Callithrix jacchus: one gene and its partners. The protein of the gene in region 1 interacts with the protein of each later gene in a pairwise test. Links are inferred from orthologs where the notes say so. Each region holds a gene or a part of one and is shown on either strand. Other genes may lie near its edges. The genes, in order: PPP1R18, STX11 and CCDC102B.

Region 1 (4,913 bases):
AACTCAGAGCCTGAGGGAAGGGACAATGAGCAGCCGGCACACCCTGAAAGAGACACACCCAGAGACAGCCTTTGCTGGGACAGGATCTTTTGGGTTCAAAATGGAAAAGGAGGGCTCAGAGAAGGAAGGGTGTGTGTGCAAAGGGAGGAAGGGTGGTGGCAGGAATTGACAAGAAATAATAGAGGAAAACAAGAATACAGGGGTATAAAAAAGAAAGACCGGCATCCAGAGAGAATTGACAAGTGGGCTTCTAAGAAGTCTGGCTCGGCTGTTCCCCTACCTGTTTGTGGTGTCTTTCGGGGGACCCCTTGGCAAGGCAGCTGCGGCTGAGACGGAGGTAGCCCCCCAGAACCAAGATCTCCTCGGCAGTTGGGTACCGCTTCTTCCCAGCCCCCAGGGCTGCAGCATCAGCTGTGGCTGGAGAGGCTGGGGTGGCTGGGGGAGTCGTAGGGAGCACAGACCGCCGGGGGTTGACGGTGAAGGTGTGTCCACTGCGGCGGGGGGCCCCCACCCCTGGCCCTGCTTTCACCCCATAGAACAGGCGGCTCATGAGGGGATCCCCAGGAGGTTGGGGGGCAGCTGGGGCTGGGGGTGGGGGAGATAGAGGGGCTGGTGGTGGGGGCTGGAGTTCCACTGCTTCTTCTTCCTGCTGTCTCAGGCCTCCAGTCCCAGCGTCCTCTGGTGGGAGGGGGGAGGGCACAGAGCAGCAGTTCTGCAGGGCTCTCAGAGGCCTGCCCTGAGCTCCCGCCTCCTCCTTCTCAGCCTCCCCTTCTCCAGCTTCCACACCGGGAGGCTCCAGACGCTTTTCCACTGACTCTGGAGGTTCTGGTTTCTGAGTTTGAGCCTCGTTGTCGTTGGGTGTCCATTCTCGAGCGTTCCCAGAGTTCAGGGTCCATTTCCACCCTTCTGTTGGCTTCATGCCCCTCTCACTGTCTCCCATAGGCCTCTGTTCTGCAGCCTCCACTCCTGCAGAACTGCTGCCTTGGGCCTCCTTTGTCAGGGTCTCTGACAGCTCTGTAGTCTCTTCTGGGGCCACCCCTGGAACTGGCCTCCCTTCTTTTCTCCTACATTCTTCTGAGTAGCCTTTTCTTTCTTCTCCTGACCTCAGCCTCCACTCTGTTGCCTCTGGTTGTACCAAACTCTGTTCCTGAGACTCTCTGGAGTCAGGTCTCCATTTATGGGCCTCTGTCAGGCCCAACTTCGGGTAGGCAGATTCCCCTGGGCTCAGTCTACTTTCCACCTCTTTTCTTCTGGGGCTTTGCTCTCGAGACTCTGCTAGTCTCAGACTCCGCTCTGGAGTTTCTACAGGACTCAGCCTCCATTTCCGTGCCTCTGACAGTCGGGAGCTCTTGTCTCCCGCCTCTCCTGGGCTTTGCCTCCAGTCCCGAGCCTCCAGAGGCCTCAGGCTCGACTCTTGGGCTCCCCCTATCCCCAGCCTCCTCTCTCTGGTCTCCCTGGGACTTAGTCTCTCTTCTCTTGACTCTCTTCTCTTGGGGCTCTGATCCCGCATCTCCCCAGGGCTGGGTCTCCGCTCCCGGGCCTCCAGAGATCCAGGCTTTCTCTCAGCTAGCAGCTCTTCACTCCGTTGCTGCTGCTGCTGCCGCTCCTGCCGGATGAATCGGTTCTGGTGCACTGGCCCGATGGCCTCCTGAAGGACCGCAGATTCATCTGTGTCTGCAGGTCCGGCTTCTGCAGTCCCTGGCACAGGGCTAGGCTCCCCAGGGGACAGCCCAAGCTTGGCCCGGCGGCGCTCCAGAAGCCCTCGCTTCCAGGCTGGCATCTGGGATAGGCGCTCCCGTTCTGCCTTCTCCCGGCCTCTAACGGACGCCTCCTCCTGCCGGCGCCGGGCTAACAGCTGTAGCTTCCAGTCTGGGATGGTGGTCATGGTCGCCTTGAGGTGAGGGTAGGGAGCACTGGGGGCAGAGAACAGGAAGAAGAGGCTCCAGAGAGGCCCAGGGAGTGAGACTGAGGGTGGGAGGGGAGGAAGTGGAGGGGGAGAGGTGGGACCACGAGCAGGGCAGAGGAGCTGAGGATGAGGACCAAGGGAAAGAGGGACGGCAGAGAACAGGGGAAATGGAAAAAGTGAAGAGAAGTTATGAGCCCAAGTTGGGGGTGGTGGGGGCGATGTGAGAGGAAGAGTCCAGATTGGAGGCAATGAGGACAGGAGCCAGATGTGGCAGTACAGGGTTAATGCGTATTAAAGACAGTCTCTAGGATGTGGGAAACAGAGAATGGGAGAAAAGAAAAGTTGCTATGAGGGTGAAAAGAGAAAAGGGGCAGGGATGAGGGGAACCCGGGTGCAGGCCTGGCTGCCTCAGCGATACCCCAGGGAGGTGAGTGTGGGAAGGAAGGACCGGGAATCCCTCCCGAGGAGGGCAACGGGACCTGAGGGGGTGTCGAGGAGGCAGGGAGGAGCGGAGAGCGAGCAGGTCTAGGGGAGAAGGGAAACCAGGGAAGAGGGGAAGGGAGCGCGGCGGTAGCGGCCGGGAGCGTCTCAGCGCGGGCCCCAAAGGTCCCTGCTCCGCTTCCAGTGCCGCTGGGGCCACGCCTCTCCCCAGCCCCCACCCCTCTGCCCCGCACTCCGCCCCCGAGGCGGGTCGGGGGAAATACCCACCCCGGGACTTTCGGAACCCGGGCGTCGGGGCTGCCAGCGCGTTCCCAGAACCCTGGTATCCACCCCCACCCAGTCCCGTCAATACCGCCTGCCTCCCCCGCCGTCTGCGCCCGGCGACCCCGGAGTGCCGAGGGCCGGCTCCATGCCTCTTCTCTCCAGCGCCTGCGAGTCCCATGCCCGGTCCCCGCTCTCATGGAGCCGTGACAGAGCCAGCTGTCTCCACCCCGCTCTGGCTGCACAGACTGACAATCTCGGCACAAAGAGGAGACAGCCAAGGTCCGGGCCAGGGACGGGAGCGAGGAGACACCCCCTCCCCAAGTCTAAGCCCCTCAGTCAACTCACACGCCGTGGGGCCCCCCTGGGAGGGGGTGCGGAGGAGCCGGGCGTCCAGAGAGAGGAAGAGGAGGAGAGAGGGACCGAGGGAGATCCGGAGACTGGAGGGAGGGGAGGAGGAGGGAGAGGAGGAGGGAAAGAGGCAGCAAAGGAGGAGGGACGGAGACAGAGATCAGGGGGCCGGGCGGGGGCGGCGACCGCTTTGTCTAAGGACAATGAGGAGAGGGAAGGGGGCGCAGGGCGGAGCCCGAGGGGAGGGCGGGGCTCCCTCCCACCGCGCGTGGGACTGGCTCTGGGACTGCCCCCTACTCGCCCCAACCCCTGGTCCTCTGCTCTGTGTCCCCAGGGGCCCTCAACCGCTTCCCTCCCGGTAGCCCTGAAGAACCCAGGTGTCCAGATCCCTTCCCCCAGCTCGCCGACCCAGGGCGGTGGCCCGTGACTCAGGCCCCTCGTGGGACTTTGGGAGGAAGCGGCAGCTGCTAGGAGCCGGGCCCGCCCTTCCCATCTCCTGCCTCTCAGCCCTCCCCGCGATTTTGCCTTCTCCGGCCAGTCTTTGTTTTTGCCGGGTCGAGGGCAGCCACCAGGAGGCCTTGAGGAGGGGGCGGCAGGAGAGGCGCTCAGAAGCCAGCAGTTTTGGAAGCTCGTTCTCCTACCAGAGCTGCTGTCCCCACTCTTTCTAGCTTCAACCTGCCTCCCATGAGTCTCTTGGTCAGCTGCGGGGTTGGGGAGTGGGGGAAGGGGATTTGAAGGAATGGGGACCCGGCCTCTCTGGCAAAGTGGGGGCGGGTCAGCGGGGGCGCGGTGGTCGAAGGCCAGCGGTTGCCAGAGGGCGTGGTGGCTGCCCAGACTCCACTTCGCGGGCTCGCAGGCTCCCTCTGGCTTTCCTTCCCAAACTCAGCCCTGCAGCTTGGGAGACACTGACAGACTACATGCAGTACGTAGAAAAATCAGGCTTTTATTTTCCTGCAGAGCATCCAGAACAGGAAGCCCCAAGTTAAGAACGGGAGAATCCTCTTGACTAGGTTCAGAGGCAGGGCCTAAGGAGGTGCAGACACTAGGGCCGGGAGTGCTGAGGCAAGGTGTGGGGCCTGGAGGGACAGCCACTGCCTTTGAACTTGCAGACCCTGGTCCAGCTTCTCGGAGTGGAAGCCAGAGGTGGCGAAGTGGGAGGGGGATCCCAGAGGCACAGAGAGAAGCAATGGTGCCCGCCAGCGGAATGGTCAGGGCAGATCCTTTCCTTCTAGGAGACTGTTGAAGGGGAGCATGCCATGCCCTAAACAGTGAGGAGACAGATGAATTCCATACCCTGCTCTTCCTTGCTGGTGAGATGTGGACTCTTGGAGTTCAGTGGCTGAAACTCAGAATTTAGAGTATGGAGCTGGACCCAGAGAATAAAGTAGCAAGTAGTGGAAGGGGCAACTCCTTTAGTCCATGGATTTGAGCCTCTGGCCTGAAGCAGCCAGGGCCTGGATGTTAAAGATTTAGAATTCAGGGGGAGAGAGACTGGGCGTGGTGGCTCATGCCTGTAATTCCAGCACTTTGGGAGACTAAGGCAGGCGGATCACAAGGTCAGCAGTTCAAGACCAGCCTGGCCGACATGACGAAACCCTGTCTCTACTAAAAATACAAAAATTAGCTGTGTGTTGTGGCGAGAGCCTGTAATACCAGCTGCTCAGGAGCCTGAGGCAGGAGAATCACTTGAACCTGGGAGGCGGAGGTTGCAGTGAGTCAAGATTGCGCCATTGAACTCCAGCCTGGGCCACAGAGCAAGACTGCATCTCAACAACATAAAGAATTTGGGGGAGGGGAAGAACAGGGCTTGTAACCAGAGTGAGCTTCTCACTCTGCCTCCCCATCCTGGGGTCGAGAGAGCAGGTGGAGTTTTCTTTGCAGCTGGGCCCGGAGGTAGCGGAGGTCTTGCTGATCAAGCCCATGAGCCAGGCCCAGGTAGAGGGTAAGGAGGAGA
Region 2 (4,913 bases), about 120 Mb from region 1:
AATTGCAACAGTAAACTGTGATACAGTATGTTTATGCATTTGGGCTCATATGGCTATAACGTGCTAAAAACATTGATTTGAACTGCAAAAACAATGATCAGAAACTTGCCTCAATATAGTGTTATCAATTTATAAACTATTAGGCAGGGCATGGTGGCTCACACCTGCAATCTCAGCGCTTTGGGAGGTCAAGGTGAGCAGCTCACCTGCAGTCAGGAGTTTGAGACCAGCTGGGCCAACAGGACAAAACCTTGACTCTACTAAAAATACAAAAACTAGCCGGTTGTTGTGGTGGGAGCTGGTAGTCCCAGCTACTTGGGAGGCTGAAGGACGAGAATTGCTTGAATGCGGGAGGTGGAGATTCCAGCAAGCCAAGATTGCGCCACTACACTCCAGCCTGGGCAACAGAGTGAGACTCTCTCAAAACAAAACAAAACAAAACAACCTATTAATTAGTCATACTATTTTCTAAAAGTCATGCTGTTAACTAAAGGTGACTGCAATTGTCCAGGGGTGATAATCAGCTGAGTTTAGTTTCACATGGTTATTAAATAGTATGAAATATGGTTCATTCAAATGCTTTAAAAACCATACCTTTCTAATTCATATTTTTTAAATCATGTATCAAATGAAGAATAGGCTGCCTACAAAGACAAGTAAATGAGTCAACTCAAAAGCTTCCTCGCTTTTCCAGCCATGACCCAGTCCATTCCAAATCCCAGATCTGCAGAAACATCAGTCATATTGGGACAGAAACTTCACTCTGGGCATAGATGTACCCTAGCACATATATAATGGATTTTCCAGTGTATTTAAATAAACTATTATTTAGTCACACTATTTCCTAAAAGTCACACTATGAACTAAAGGTGACTGTAATTATCTAGGGGTAGTAACTGGCTGTTTAATTTTTAAATACACTGGGACCCAGCTTACTGAGTTATATTGGGACAGAAACATCCATCTGGGTGTAGATTTACCCTAGCAGCTTGTCAGCAGGATCCTTTTATTCCTAGTTGCACAAGCAAGGTTCAGAGAAGAGGCTGGCACAGAGAAGGTGCCTGGTAACTGTTGTTTGGGGCTGAACTCAGCTCAACTCAGCTCCAGTAGAGATGGTGCTCCCTTTTCTATCATGTTGAGAGCCTGTGCAGACCTTGCCTAAGCGCTGCTACCCACTACAATGGGACCTGTGAGTTTCAACTTTTAAATTTCTCTGCTCCTGCTGGGACCTACCCACTTCAAAAATCGTCGTGTGGTTTTAGCATCAATTTAGTAAATACAAATTGTTAGAAATATTTTGATTTTAGAGAGTTACAGTCACCACATTAAATGATACATTTCTACCATGCAGTGAAAATGAGGACAAAATGGTCACTAGATACTGAAATTAATTTTCCCTTGGGCTTCTGTGGCAAAGCACATGATTTTAATGGTTATCTTAGATCAGCCCAGTGACCTTTACTGGCATGTTGTAACATCAGGCGCCTTAGGAAACTGAAAACTCAAATCATCACTACCCATACCACTGCCCCAGGTTAGCAGGGCAGGCATTTCACATCTAGAGCCTCATTTTAAATACAGACAGAGCAAGCCTCGCTTTTCAAAAAGTTCATTAACAAAGTCTCACAATTAAGAGAGCAGCCGTGTGACTCATTTTTGGATACCCGTAAATAACAACTCCTCCCTTTGCTGAGAAACGGCTGAAACAAGTGCGTGAGAACCACAGGAAGTAATACAGAGCTCAGCTGGTGTCAGAGGAGTCTAGAAAAAGGCAGAATTCCCTCTTGGACAGAGTGGTTCTCGCAGGATTGCCACTACCCTTCCTCTCCATTTTTCTAAAACAAAGTCTTATGTGGGCTTTGAAGGGACTGCTCCAAGGCTCTATCAATTTCTCCGTCTCTCCCGGCTTCTGGGTGACAGTGCCAAGTTCAAGTCAAGAGGTACCCATTCTGGTGTTTTTGACACAGTCACCCTAATAGGAAATGAAGAGGTGATAACAAAGAAACACTTCAGCCTTTCAACTTAAAGGTAGTCTTAGGTGGACGCTTTATAAAGGCAGCCTACCAACGGGTATCCCTAAAATAATTCCTATGAAGCGCTAAATTCTCAGTCCCTTGGCCTCTGAAATTAAAAGTAATTCAAAAAATATCATTCCGCTTTATATGAGAAACCCAGTGCTGTGTTCTCGAAGGTGCCCAGAGGCGGCGTGAGGCCCTGCACCAAAACCCACTAAGGCACCGCCGCGGATCCGGAGCCCAGACAGTGTCCCCGCCCCGGCCCGCCCACCTCCCCGCACTCTCCGCGCACCGGGAATAGGTAGAGAAATGGGGAGCTCAGGGACAGAAAAACAAACCAGTACCCGGAGCGAGAGTTCGAACCGAGAAGCCCCTATCCCGGCCGGGCGCTCGTCCCCCGTGGGCGCCGCGTTGGGGAAGGAAACCTGTTGCGCGACTCCCGGCGGCTCGGCTCCCGGCGCCTCCCGCGTCCCCTGCGGCAGAGGCTGGGCTCCTTCACTGCGGCCCGAGCTCCGCCCCGCCGCGGCCGCATCTGGGCGCCGCCGGCTCTGCCCTAGCCGCTTAGGAAGCGACCACAGCTGGGGACAAGGCCCCGCCCCGGGATGACAGCGCCGGGGCGCGGCGGCTCGCGGAGCGCAGGTTCCCGCCCCGCCCGGAGTCCCTGCGCTCGGGACCGCCCGGAGCCGGGGACGCGCTCCAGCACCTCCCGTACGTCTCGGGGAGTTCCCGCGGGCGGAGCGGACCCTCGCGGGGAGTGGGAGGTTTGCAGCCAGAGGCACTTCCTCTGCTCATCCTCCGGTTCCTAGGGCAGGGAGCGCGGTGGACTTTCCCCGGGAATCCCCGCTGCGCTGATGACATTTGCCGTCCGGTGCGTTTCCGCGGCGAGGACGGTGGAAGCGGTCTCTGAGCGTGGGTGTGGCTGCCGAGGCTGCAGCAGGTCCTGCACCCCCTGGACCTTCCAGGAGGCGGGCAAGGAGCCTGCGGTCACACAGCGGCCGACCACCGCCTTCCCAGAACCCGGCGGCCAACCCCTCTCCAGTCGGCCTCAGGACCCTACGGGCTCATCATTCCCTGGATATTAGCTGAGCGTCCCCTTGTGTGCCCAGGGTACCACCGCTCTCAAAAATACTGCCAAGACCCCCCCTCCAGGTCCTGGCACTTTAATGGGGAGACATAAACAAAGTGTGGATTGTGCCAGGTGGCGGTAAGCACCTTGAAAAACAAAGGTGAGGCTGAAAAGTAAGTGAGATTCAAAAAGGGAAATCGGGCCAGGCGCGGTGACTCGCGCCCATAACCTAGCACTTTGGGAGGCTGAGGTGGGAGGATCGCTTGAGCCCAGGAGTTTGAGACCAGTCTGAACAATATGGTGAAAGCCCATCTCTACAAAAAATACAAAAATTAGCTGAGCATGGTGGCGCGCCTCTGTGGTCCCAGCTACTCGCGACGCTAAGGTGGGAGGATCACTTGAGCCCAGGAGGTCAAGCATGCAGTGAGCCTAGATCCTGCCACTGCACTTCAGCCTGGGCAAAAGAATGAGAAGGAAAAATAAAAATAAAAAACGAATCCTGCCTTGATGGGAGAATGTTTAAACACAGAACTACCTGAAAGAGCTCCCAGTTGCCAAAGATGGAACCATTTGAGCAACGAAGTAAACTAAACAAAGTCTTATTGGATTAAAAGCCAAAGTAAAAAATATCCATGAGTCTACACTCATATAAATAAATAATTGAATAAATAAATAAAAGGCAGAGAGGAGACAAATCTCCTACACAGAATAATTCCAAATAATTTATGTAGATCATCTACCGTAGGCAGTGCACAGTGACTTCCTCCAAAATAGTACAGTATGGAAAGGGGAAAAGAGTAGCTTTACAATGGAGAAAGCTGACAGACACTACGCCAGCCAGATGTTCTAAGTAAACGTCAACAATCATGAATTATATTGATGACATGTAGTTAATACAATGTGATGAATATGGCCCATTACCTCTGTGGTCTTCCTCCCCAAAACCCATAACCACTGTCTCATAATGAGAAAAATACCAAACTAATTTCAATAGTGGGACATCCTACAAAATACCTGACCATATTCCTCGAAGTTGTCAGGTTATCAAAAGTAAGAAAAGTACAGTCCAGACGTGGTGGTTCACACCTGTAATCCCAGCACTGTGGGAAGCTGAAGCGAGAGGATTGCTTAAGGCCAGGAGTTCAAGACCTGGTCTGGCCAACATAGCAAGACCCTGTCTCTACAAAAATTAAAAATAAAAATAAGGAAAGTCTGAAAAACTGCCACAGCCTAAAAGAAGCTAAGGAGGATGTGAAAACTAAATGTAATGTGGTATCCTGGATGAGATCCTGCGACAGAAAAAGGACTTGGGGAAAAGCTAAGGAAATCTAAGTAAAGTAAGGACTTTCATTAATAATAAGAATCAAGGTTGATTAGTCTTGAGGAATGTAATGTAAGATGCTAATCATGGAAAATCTGAAATAGAATTTATGGCAATTCTGTACTACCTTTGCAATTTTTCTGTAAGTCTAAAACTGTTCTAAAAGATGCAGTTTATTTGCTGGGCGAGGTGGCTCATGCCTGTAATCCCAGCACTTTGAGAGGCCGAGGCGAGTGGATCACGAGGTCAGGAGTACAAGACCAGCCTGGCCAACATGGTGAAACCCATCTCTACTGAAAATATAAAAAAATTACCTGAGCGTGGTAGTGGATGCCTGTAATCCCAGCTACTCAAAAGGCTGAGGCAGAGAATTGCTTGAACCCAGGAGGCAGAGGTTGCAGTGAGCCAAGATCACACTACTGCACTCCAGCCTGGGTGACAGAGCAAGACTCTCCATCTCAAAAAAAAAAAAAAAAAAGAAAAGAAAAAGGAAAAAAAATACAGTTTATTA
Region 3 (4,813 bases), on another chromosome or scaffold:
CACCTCTTTATCTTTATGATTCACCACTTTGAATGTTATGAGAAGCCTCTTAAACTTACTTTCTTCCAGAACCACATCCTTTTTCAAACACGAGGAAGGCAGAGGAAAGAAAGTTCCTCATTGTGATGTTCACATATTTTTCTAGATGGGGAAACCTCAGTATACTTCATCTCACATCCCAGCAGCCAGAGCCAGGCCATAGCCCTGTCATGAAAGTAGTCAACAGTCAATAGATGAAGGGCATCATGGAAAAGGTAGACTATGGTTTAACCTCTGGGATTGGGATAGAGGCTTATTCGCCCATAGATCAATAGGTTCCGCATTCTGCCTGAAATAATTGAGGCTTAATTAGCAGGAAAAAAGAAAACTATTAAGTAGTTATTGGACCTGAAATATTACAGTTTGTATTTTGTAGTGGACAATCTTCTAATAGATAGGACCTGAATAGAACTGGATTTGTCAAAATGAATTTTTTTTTATGTCATATGCTATCTGAAATTGTATCTTTATATTTTGACTTGTATTTGTTTGGCAAAATTGAATATGAGCATTTTCTATTTCTTAGTGGATAGTTACAAATGTTTAAATTCCTCCATATTTTTAGCTACACTGGAAAAATATGCAATATTGAAAAGATGGGGCTGGATGTGGTGGCTCACGCCTGTAATCCCAGCACTTTGAGAGGCCGAGGCAGGTGGATCATGAGGTCAGTTCAAGACCAGCCTGGCCAAGATGGTGAAACCCCATCTCTACTAAAACACAAAATTTAGCCAGGTGTGGTGGCACATGCCTGTAACTCCGGCTACTCGGAAGGCTGAGGCAGGGGAATTGCTTGAATCTGGGAGGCAGAGGTTGCAGTGAGCCAAGATTGGGCTACTACACTCCAGCCTGGTAACAGAGCAAGATTCTGTCTCAAAAAAAAAAAAAAAAGAAAACTAAAAGGAAAATAAAAGAACAAGCAAAAAAGAAAAAAAGCAAAGCAGGAGACACACAAACAAACAAATGCATGTAAAGCAATGTATTTTTTCTTTTTTTAGAAAAGATGCATTGCTTTCATAAATTTTCGAAAATGTAGGTCTTGTTCTTGTAATTGCAAGGGAAATTTCAGAGTGAAATTATGTTCTCTATCTTTTCTTAGGTCTTAACGATAAATATGAATTTAGATTCCATTCATCGGTTAATTGAGGAAACACAGATCTTCCAGATGCAGCAGTCATCAATTAAGTCACACTGTGACATGGTGGCACCTGCCTCACCCACCAGGGATACCTATAATACCTGCTTCCCATTTTATGGGCTACAGTCTCATGCTGCTCACAATTTATGTGCACATTCATGTAACACCAATGAATGGGATATTTGTGAAGAACTTCGCCTCCGGGAACTTGAAGAAGTCAAGGCCAGAGCTGCTCAGATGGAAAAGACCATGCGGTGGTGGTCGGACTGCACTGCCAACTGGAGAGAAAAATGGAGTAAAGTTCGAGCGGAAAGGAACAGTGCCAGGGAGGAAGGAAGACAACTCAGGCTAAAACTAGAGATGGCAATGAAAGAATTGAGTACACTGAAAAAGAAACAGAGTTTGCCACCTCAGAAGGAGGCATTAGAAGCTAAAATCACCCAGGATCTGAAGCTTCCTGGTTTCGTAGAAGAATCCTGTGAACATAGAGAACAATTTCGATTTGGTTTTCAAATGTGTGAGTCTATCAGAGAGTGTTTAGTAAAAAGACAATTTTCTACAAAGGAGGAAACAAATAATAAGGTAAGAAAGAATCCAGAGTTGATGTGAATTTCTGAATGTCATACGTAGTGACGGGAGGAAGAAGGAAGTGACAAATCCAGTGGTGACTATGCTAGTCTGCCAGGGCTACCGTCACAAAGTACCCTAATCAGGGTGCTTTAAGCAACAGAAATGCATTTTCTTACAATTGTAGAAGCTAGTAGTACACGATCAAGGTGCTAGCATGGTTGGTTTCTTCTGAGGCCTCCCTCCTTGGCTTATAGAATACTGATTTCTCCCCGTGTCTTCCATGGTCCTTTCTCTGTACACATGTCTGTGTCTTAAGTTCTTTTAGGACAGTCTAATGAACCTAATTTAACTAAATCATCATCCTAAGGCCCTGTCTTTACTAACAATCACATTCTGAGGTACTGGGGGCTAGGACTTCAACAAATAAATTTTGGGAAAGCACACTTTCAGCCCATACCAGTTGTTTTACTAATATTAATAGGGAAAAAAACTCAACAATTTTTTATCCGAAAAGAAAATATTTGGAGACATTTCTTTCCATTTACCTTAATTTGTCAAAATTGTGAACAATCCATAGTGTAGTTTGAATATTTCTCAAAGTTTGGGACTCAAGCCTCATGATTAACTTCTTATAAAATGGGTACTGCAGGCAAATAGGGTACTTTAGGAAATGCTTCATATGGTCCACACTGATGGAATTTCTTGATATACTTAGAATATCAGTTTCTGAGAATTCTGCACAAAACAAGTGTAACTTTAAAACGTCTATCAGTTTGTACACTTATTCACCCATGAACCGCCACTCTGTTTTGTTTGTTTGAACTTGGTAAATACTATTAACAACCCAAAGAACATACTTTGGGAACTCCTGTTACCTCTTATCATAATATCAGTTTATTTTGTTACCTCTTTTACTTTATCCCACCTCTAATACATATTAGTTAATATCTGGCACCACTACCATTGCATTTAGTGTTTTAAGCCATTCTATAACATATAGAATTTATGGTAGATAAAAACTAGAATTCATTGCAAATAAAATAATGAAGAAGATTACAATAATGTAATTACTTCTTCTTATTTGTTCTTTTACATTTTCTTTTAAAAGCATTCAATGTTGATAATCTAGGCTGTTAGTACCTTTGTATGTATCTTTTGGAAAATCATATATTCTCGAAATTCAGCTATATTAATGTATGCGCTAGAGGAATGTAATGACAAGCATAAGGGAATGTAGCTCACATAATGTTCTCTGAATCCACAAGACTTTTTTATTATTACAAGTTACTAGACTTTGCATTTGAGAGAATGAAGGATTCTCTTCACATGTATTATTATGGAAAATTCTCAGTATCTTGGGATTTCTTCTGAAATATCTTTGTAACATTAATGTCAAGAAGAAATCAAACATAGTAGGTATTTATTAAACTTTATTTATTTGCAAAAAATCCTTCTGGAATTTCCTTCTGATAGTAGGAAAATAAATATTACCTGTTGAAGAAGTTTTAATCATTTTTTTCCTTAAAACTTTGACCTAACTTTGCCAACTCTATGCCCAACAAGAAAGATATGTATATGTATCATTCATCTGACTTCAATACTTTCCATGAACAATACATCTTATTTTATTGTTTGTCAAAATATTATGATACAGATAATTGCAATACTCATTCTTGAGAGAATTGAGGAATGAATTATACTAGGTAATCTGGCACCCATATATTATTTAAAACATAAAATATTGAAGCATTCTGGAGATTTTACTTAAACTTGATTATTCAATGAGATTTTATTTGAAATTGTCTTTCACTTCGAACTTATAAACTAGGGTAAATTTAAATTATAGTCAAATACCAATAGCATGAGTCCTGTGAAGCTTTTGAGTTACGCACTAAGAATATTGACGCAGTTGCTGCTCTAGTATTGATGTCCGTATCAAGTGTCCCATTAAATTCTATTTGAGATGTGACTCATTAACTAAAATAAAGCAATAAGTGAGCTTATTGAAATATTCAAGAGCTTTCTGAAAATTCTATCGTCTTTCAAAAATGTTACAAAAATAATTACTTTGAAACTATGTCTTTCTTATGACAAAAGAAACTTGAAAAAGAATTCATCAACTCATTAAAAAATTCTTTTCAGCTGTTCAACTTTGTGCATGGTTATTTTTAGCTATGATTAGAAAAAGAAAACAAACAAAGAGGTAAAGCAGACCCTTTTAGAAATGTATTTTATTATAACAAGGAAGAACATAGAAAAGTTTGAAGAAGAACTCAAGTAAGTTCAGCCACGTAACACTTTTAGGTACTGATAATGAAATAAAAATATGGATTTGATGCTGTATTGTAACGTTTATTTCTTTATGAAATTGTATTGTTGTCATGATTTTTCTCCTAAGGGGTTTAAATATCCACCATAATTGTTTTATTTTTTCAGGAAGAAGGAGCGGTTATTGATTCTTTAAAATTAAATGACGAGATGAAACCTAATCTAGATAGTGTTGATTTATTCAAGAATGGTGGCTCTGGAAATGGTGAAATGAAACCTGGGCTGAAACTGAAAGCAATAAATCTGCCTTTGGATAATCAAGTAACTGAAATTTCAGCTTTGCAGGTGCATTTGAATGAGTTCCAAAAAATCTTATGGAAAGAAAGAGAGTAAGTGCTAATCATTCTCTACCTTAACCAAGTCTGTTTCAAACCACTTAAAATTGTTAACACTGATAGATCGATCATTTGTTAATGTATTTTATCCATGTTTAGTCGTTACGTTTTAGTATTTAAATAAATTAGTTTGACATATATTTTGAATTTTGAAAAGTAATCTATAACTTGTTAGTGTTCTTCATTCTTTTAAATTGACTTTTATCATGACTATGTTCTTACCATCTCTGGTAGATTCACTTTAATTTTTTCTGAATTCTTAATGTCCACGGTTAAAATATCCAGTGTATTATTTAATTTTTACAGCATTTGGACTTGGTCAATAAATATGTTAATTTTAATAGTGGAAAAAAATCACAATTTTGTGAGATACTGATTACAGAATAAGCTGTCTTATACATGG

Evidence for each region.
Region 2: the proteins of PPP1R18 (region 1) and STX11 interact in binary tests that used the Homo sapiens proteins (3 or more experiments, as listed by UniProt). The two-hybrid records come from large-scale screens. The link is inferred for Callithrix jacchus from reciprocal best matches to the Homo sapiens genes PPP1R18 and STX11.
Region 3: the proteins of PPP1R18 (region 1) and CCDC102B interact in binary tests that used the Homo sapiens proteins (3 or more experiments, as listed by UniProt). The two-hybrid records come from large-scale screens. The link is inferred for Callithrix jacchus from reciprocal best matches to the Homo sapiens genes PPP1R18 and CCDC102B.

The regions. Positions count from the first base shown.
Region 1 is NC_133505.1:35,482,691-35,487,603, forward strand, and holds the start of PPP1R18 (phostensin), read right to left. Parts: upstream 3,051-4,913; 5' UTR 2,759-3,050; coding exon 2,700-2,758; intron 1,914-2,699; coding exon 281-1,913; intron 1-280. Other genes in the region: NRM (nurim), read right to left, coding at 4,787-4,913.
Region 2 is NC_133505.1:150,901,270-150,906,182, reverse strand, and holds the start of STX11 (syntaxin-11), read right to left. Parts: upstream 2,566-4,913; 5' UTR 2,360-2,565; intron 1-2,359. UniProt on the Homo sapiens protein: SNARE that acts to regulate protein transport between late endosomes and the trans-Golgi network.
Region 3 is NC_133514.1:111,492,181-111,496,993, forward strand, and holds part of CCDC102B (coiled-coil domain-containing protein 102B), read left to right. Parts: intron 1-1,138; coding exon 1,139-1,759; intron 1,760-4,183; coding exon 4,184-4,404; intron 4,405-4,813. UniProt on the Homo sapiens protein: During interphase, forms fibers at the proximal ends of centrioles to maintain centrosome cohesion. During mitosis, dissociates from the centrosome following phosphorylation to allow centrosome separation. Contributes to CROCC/rootletin filament formation.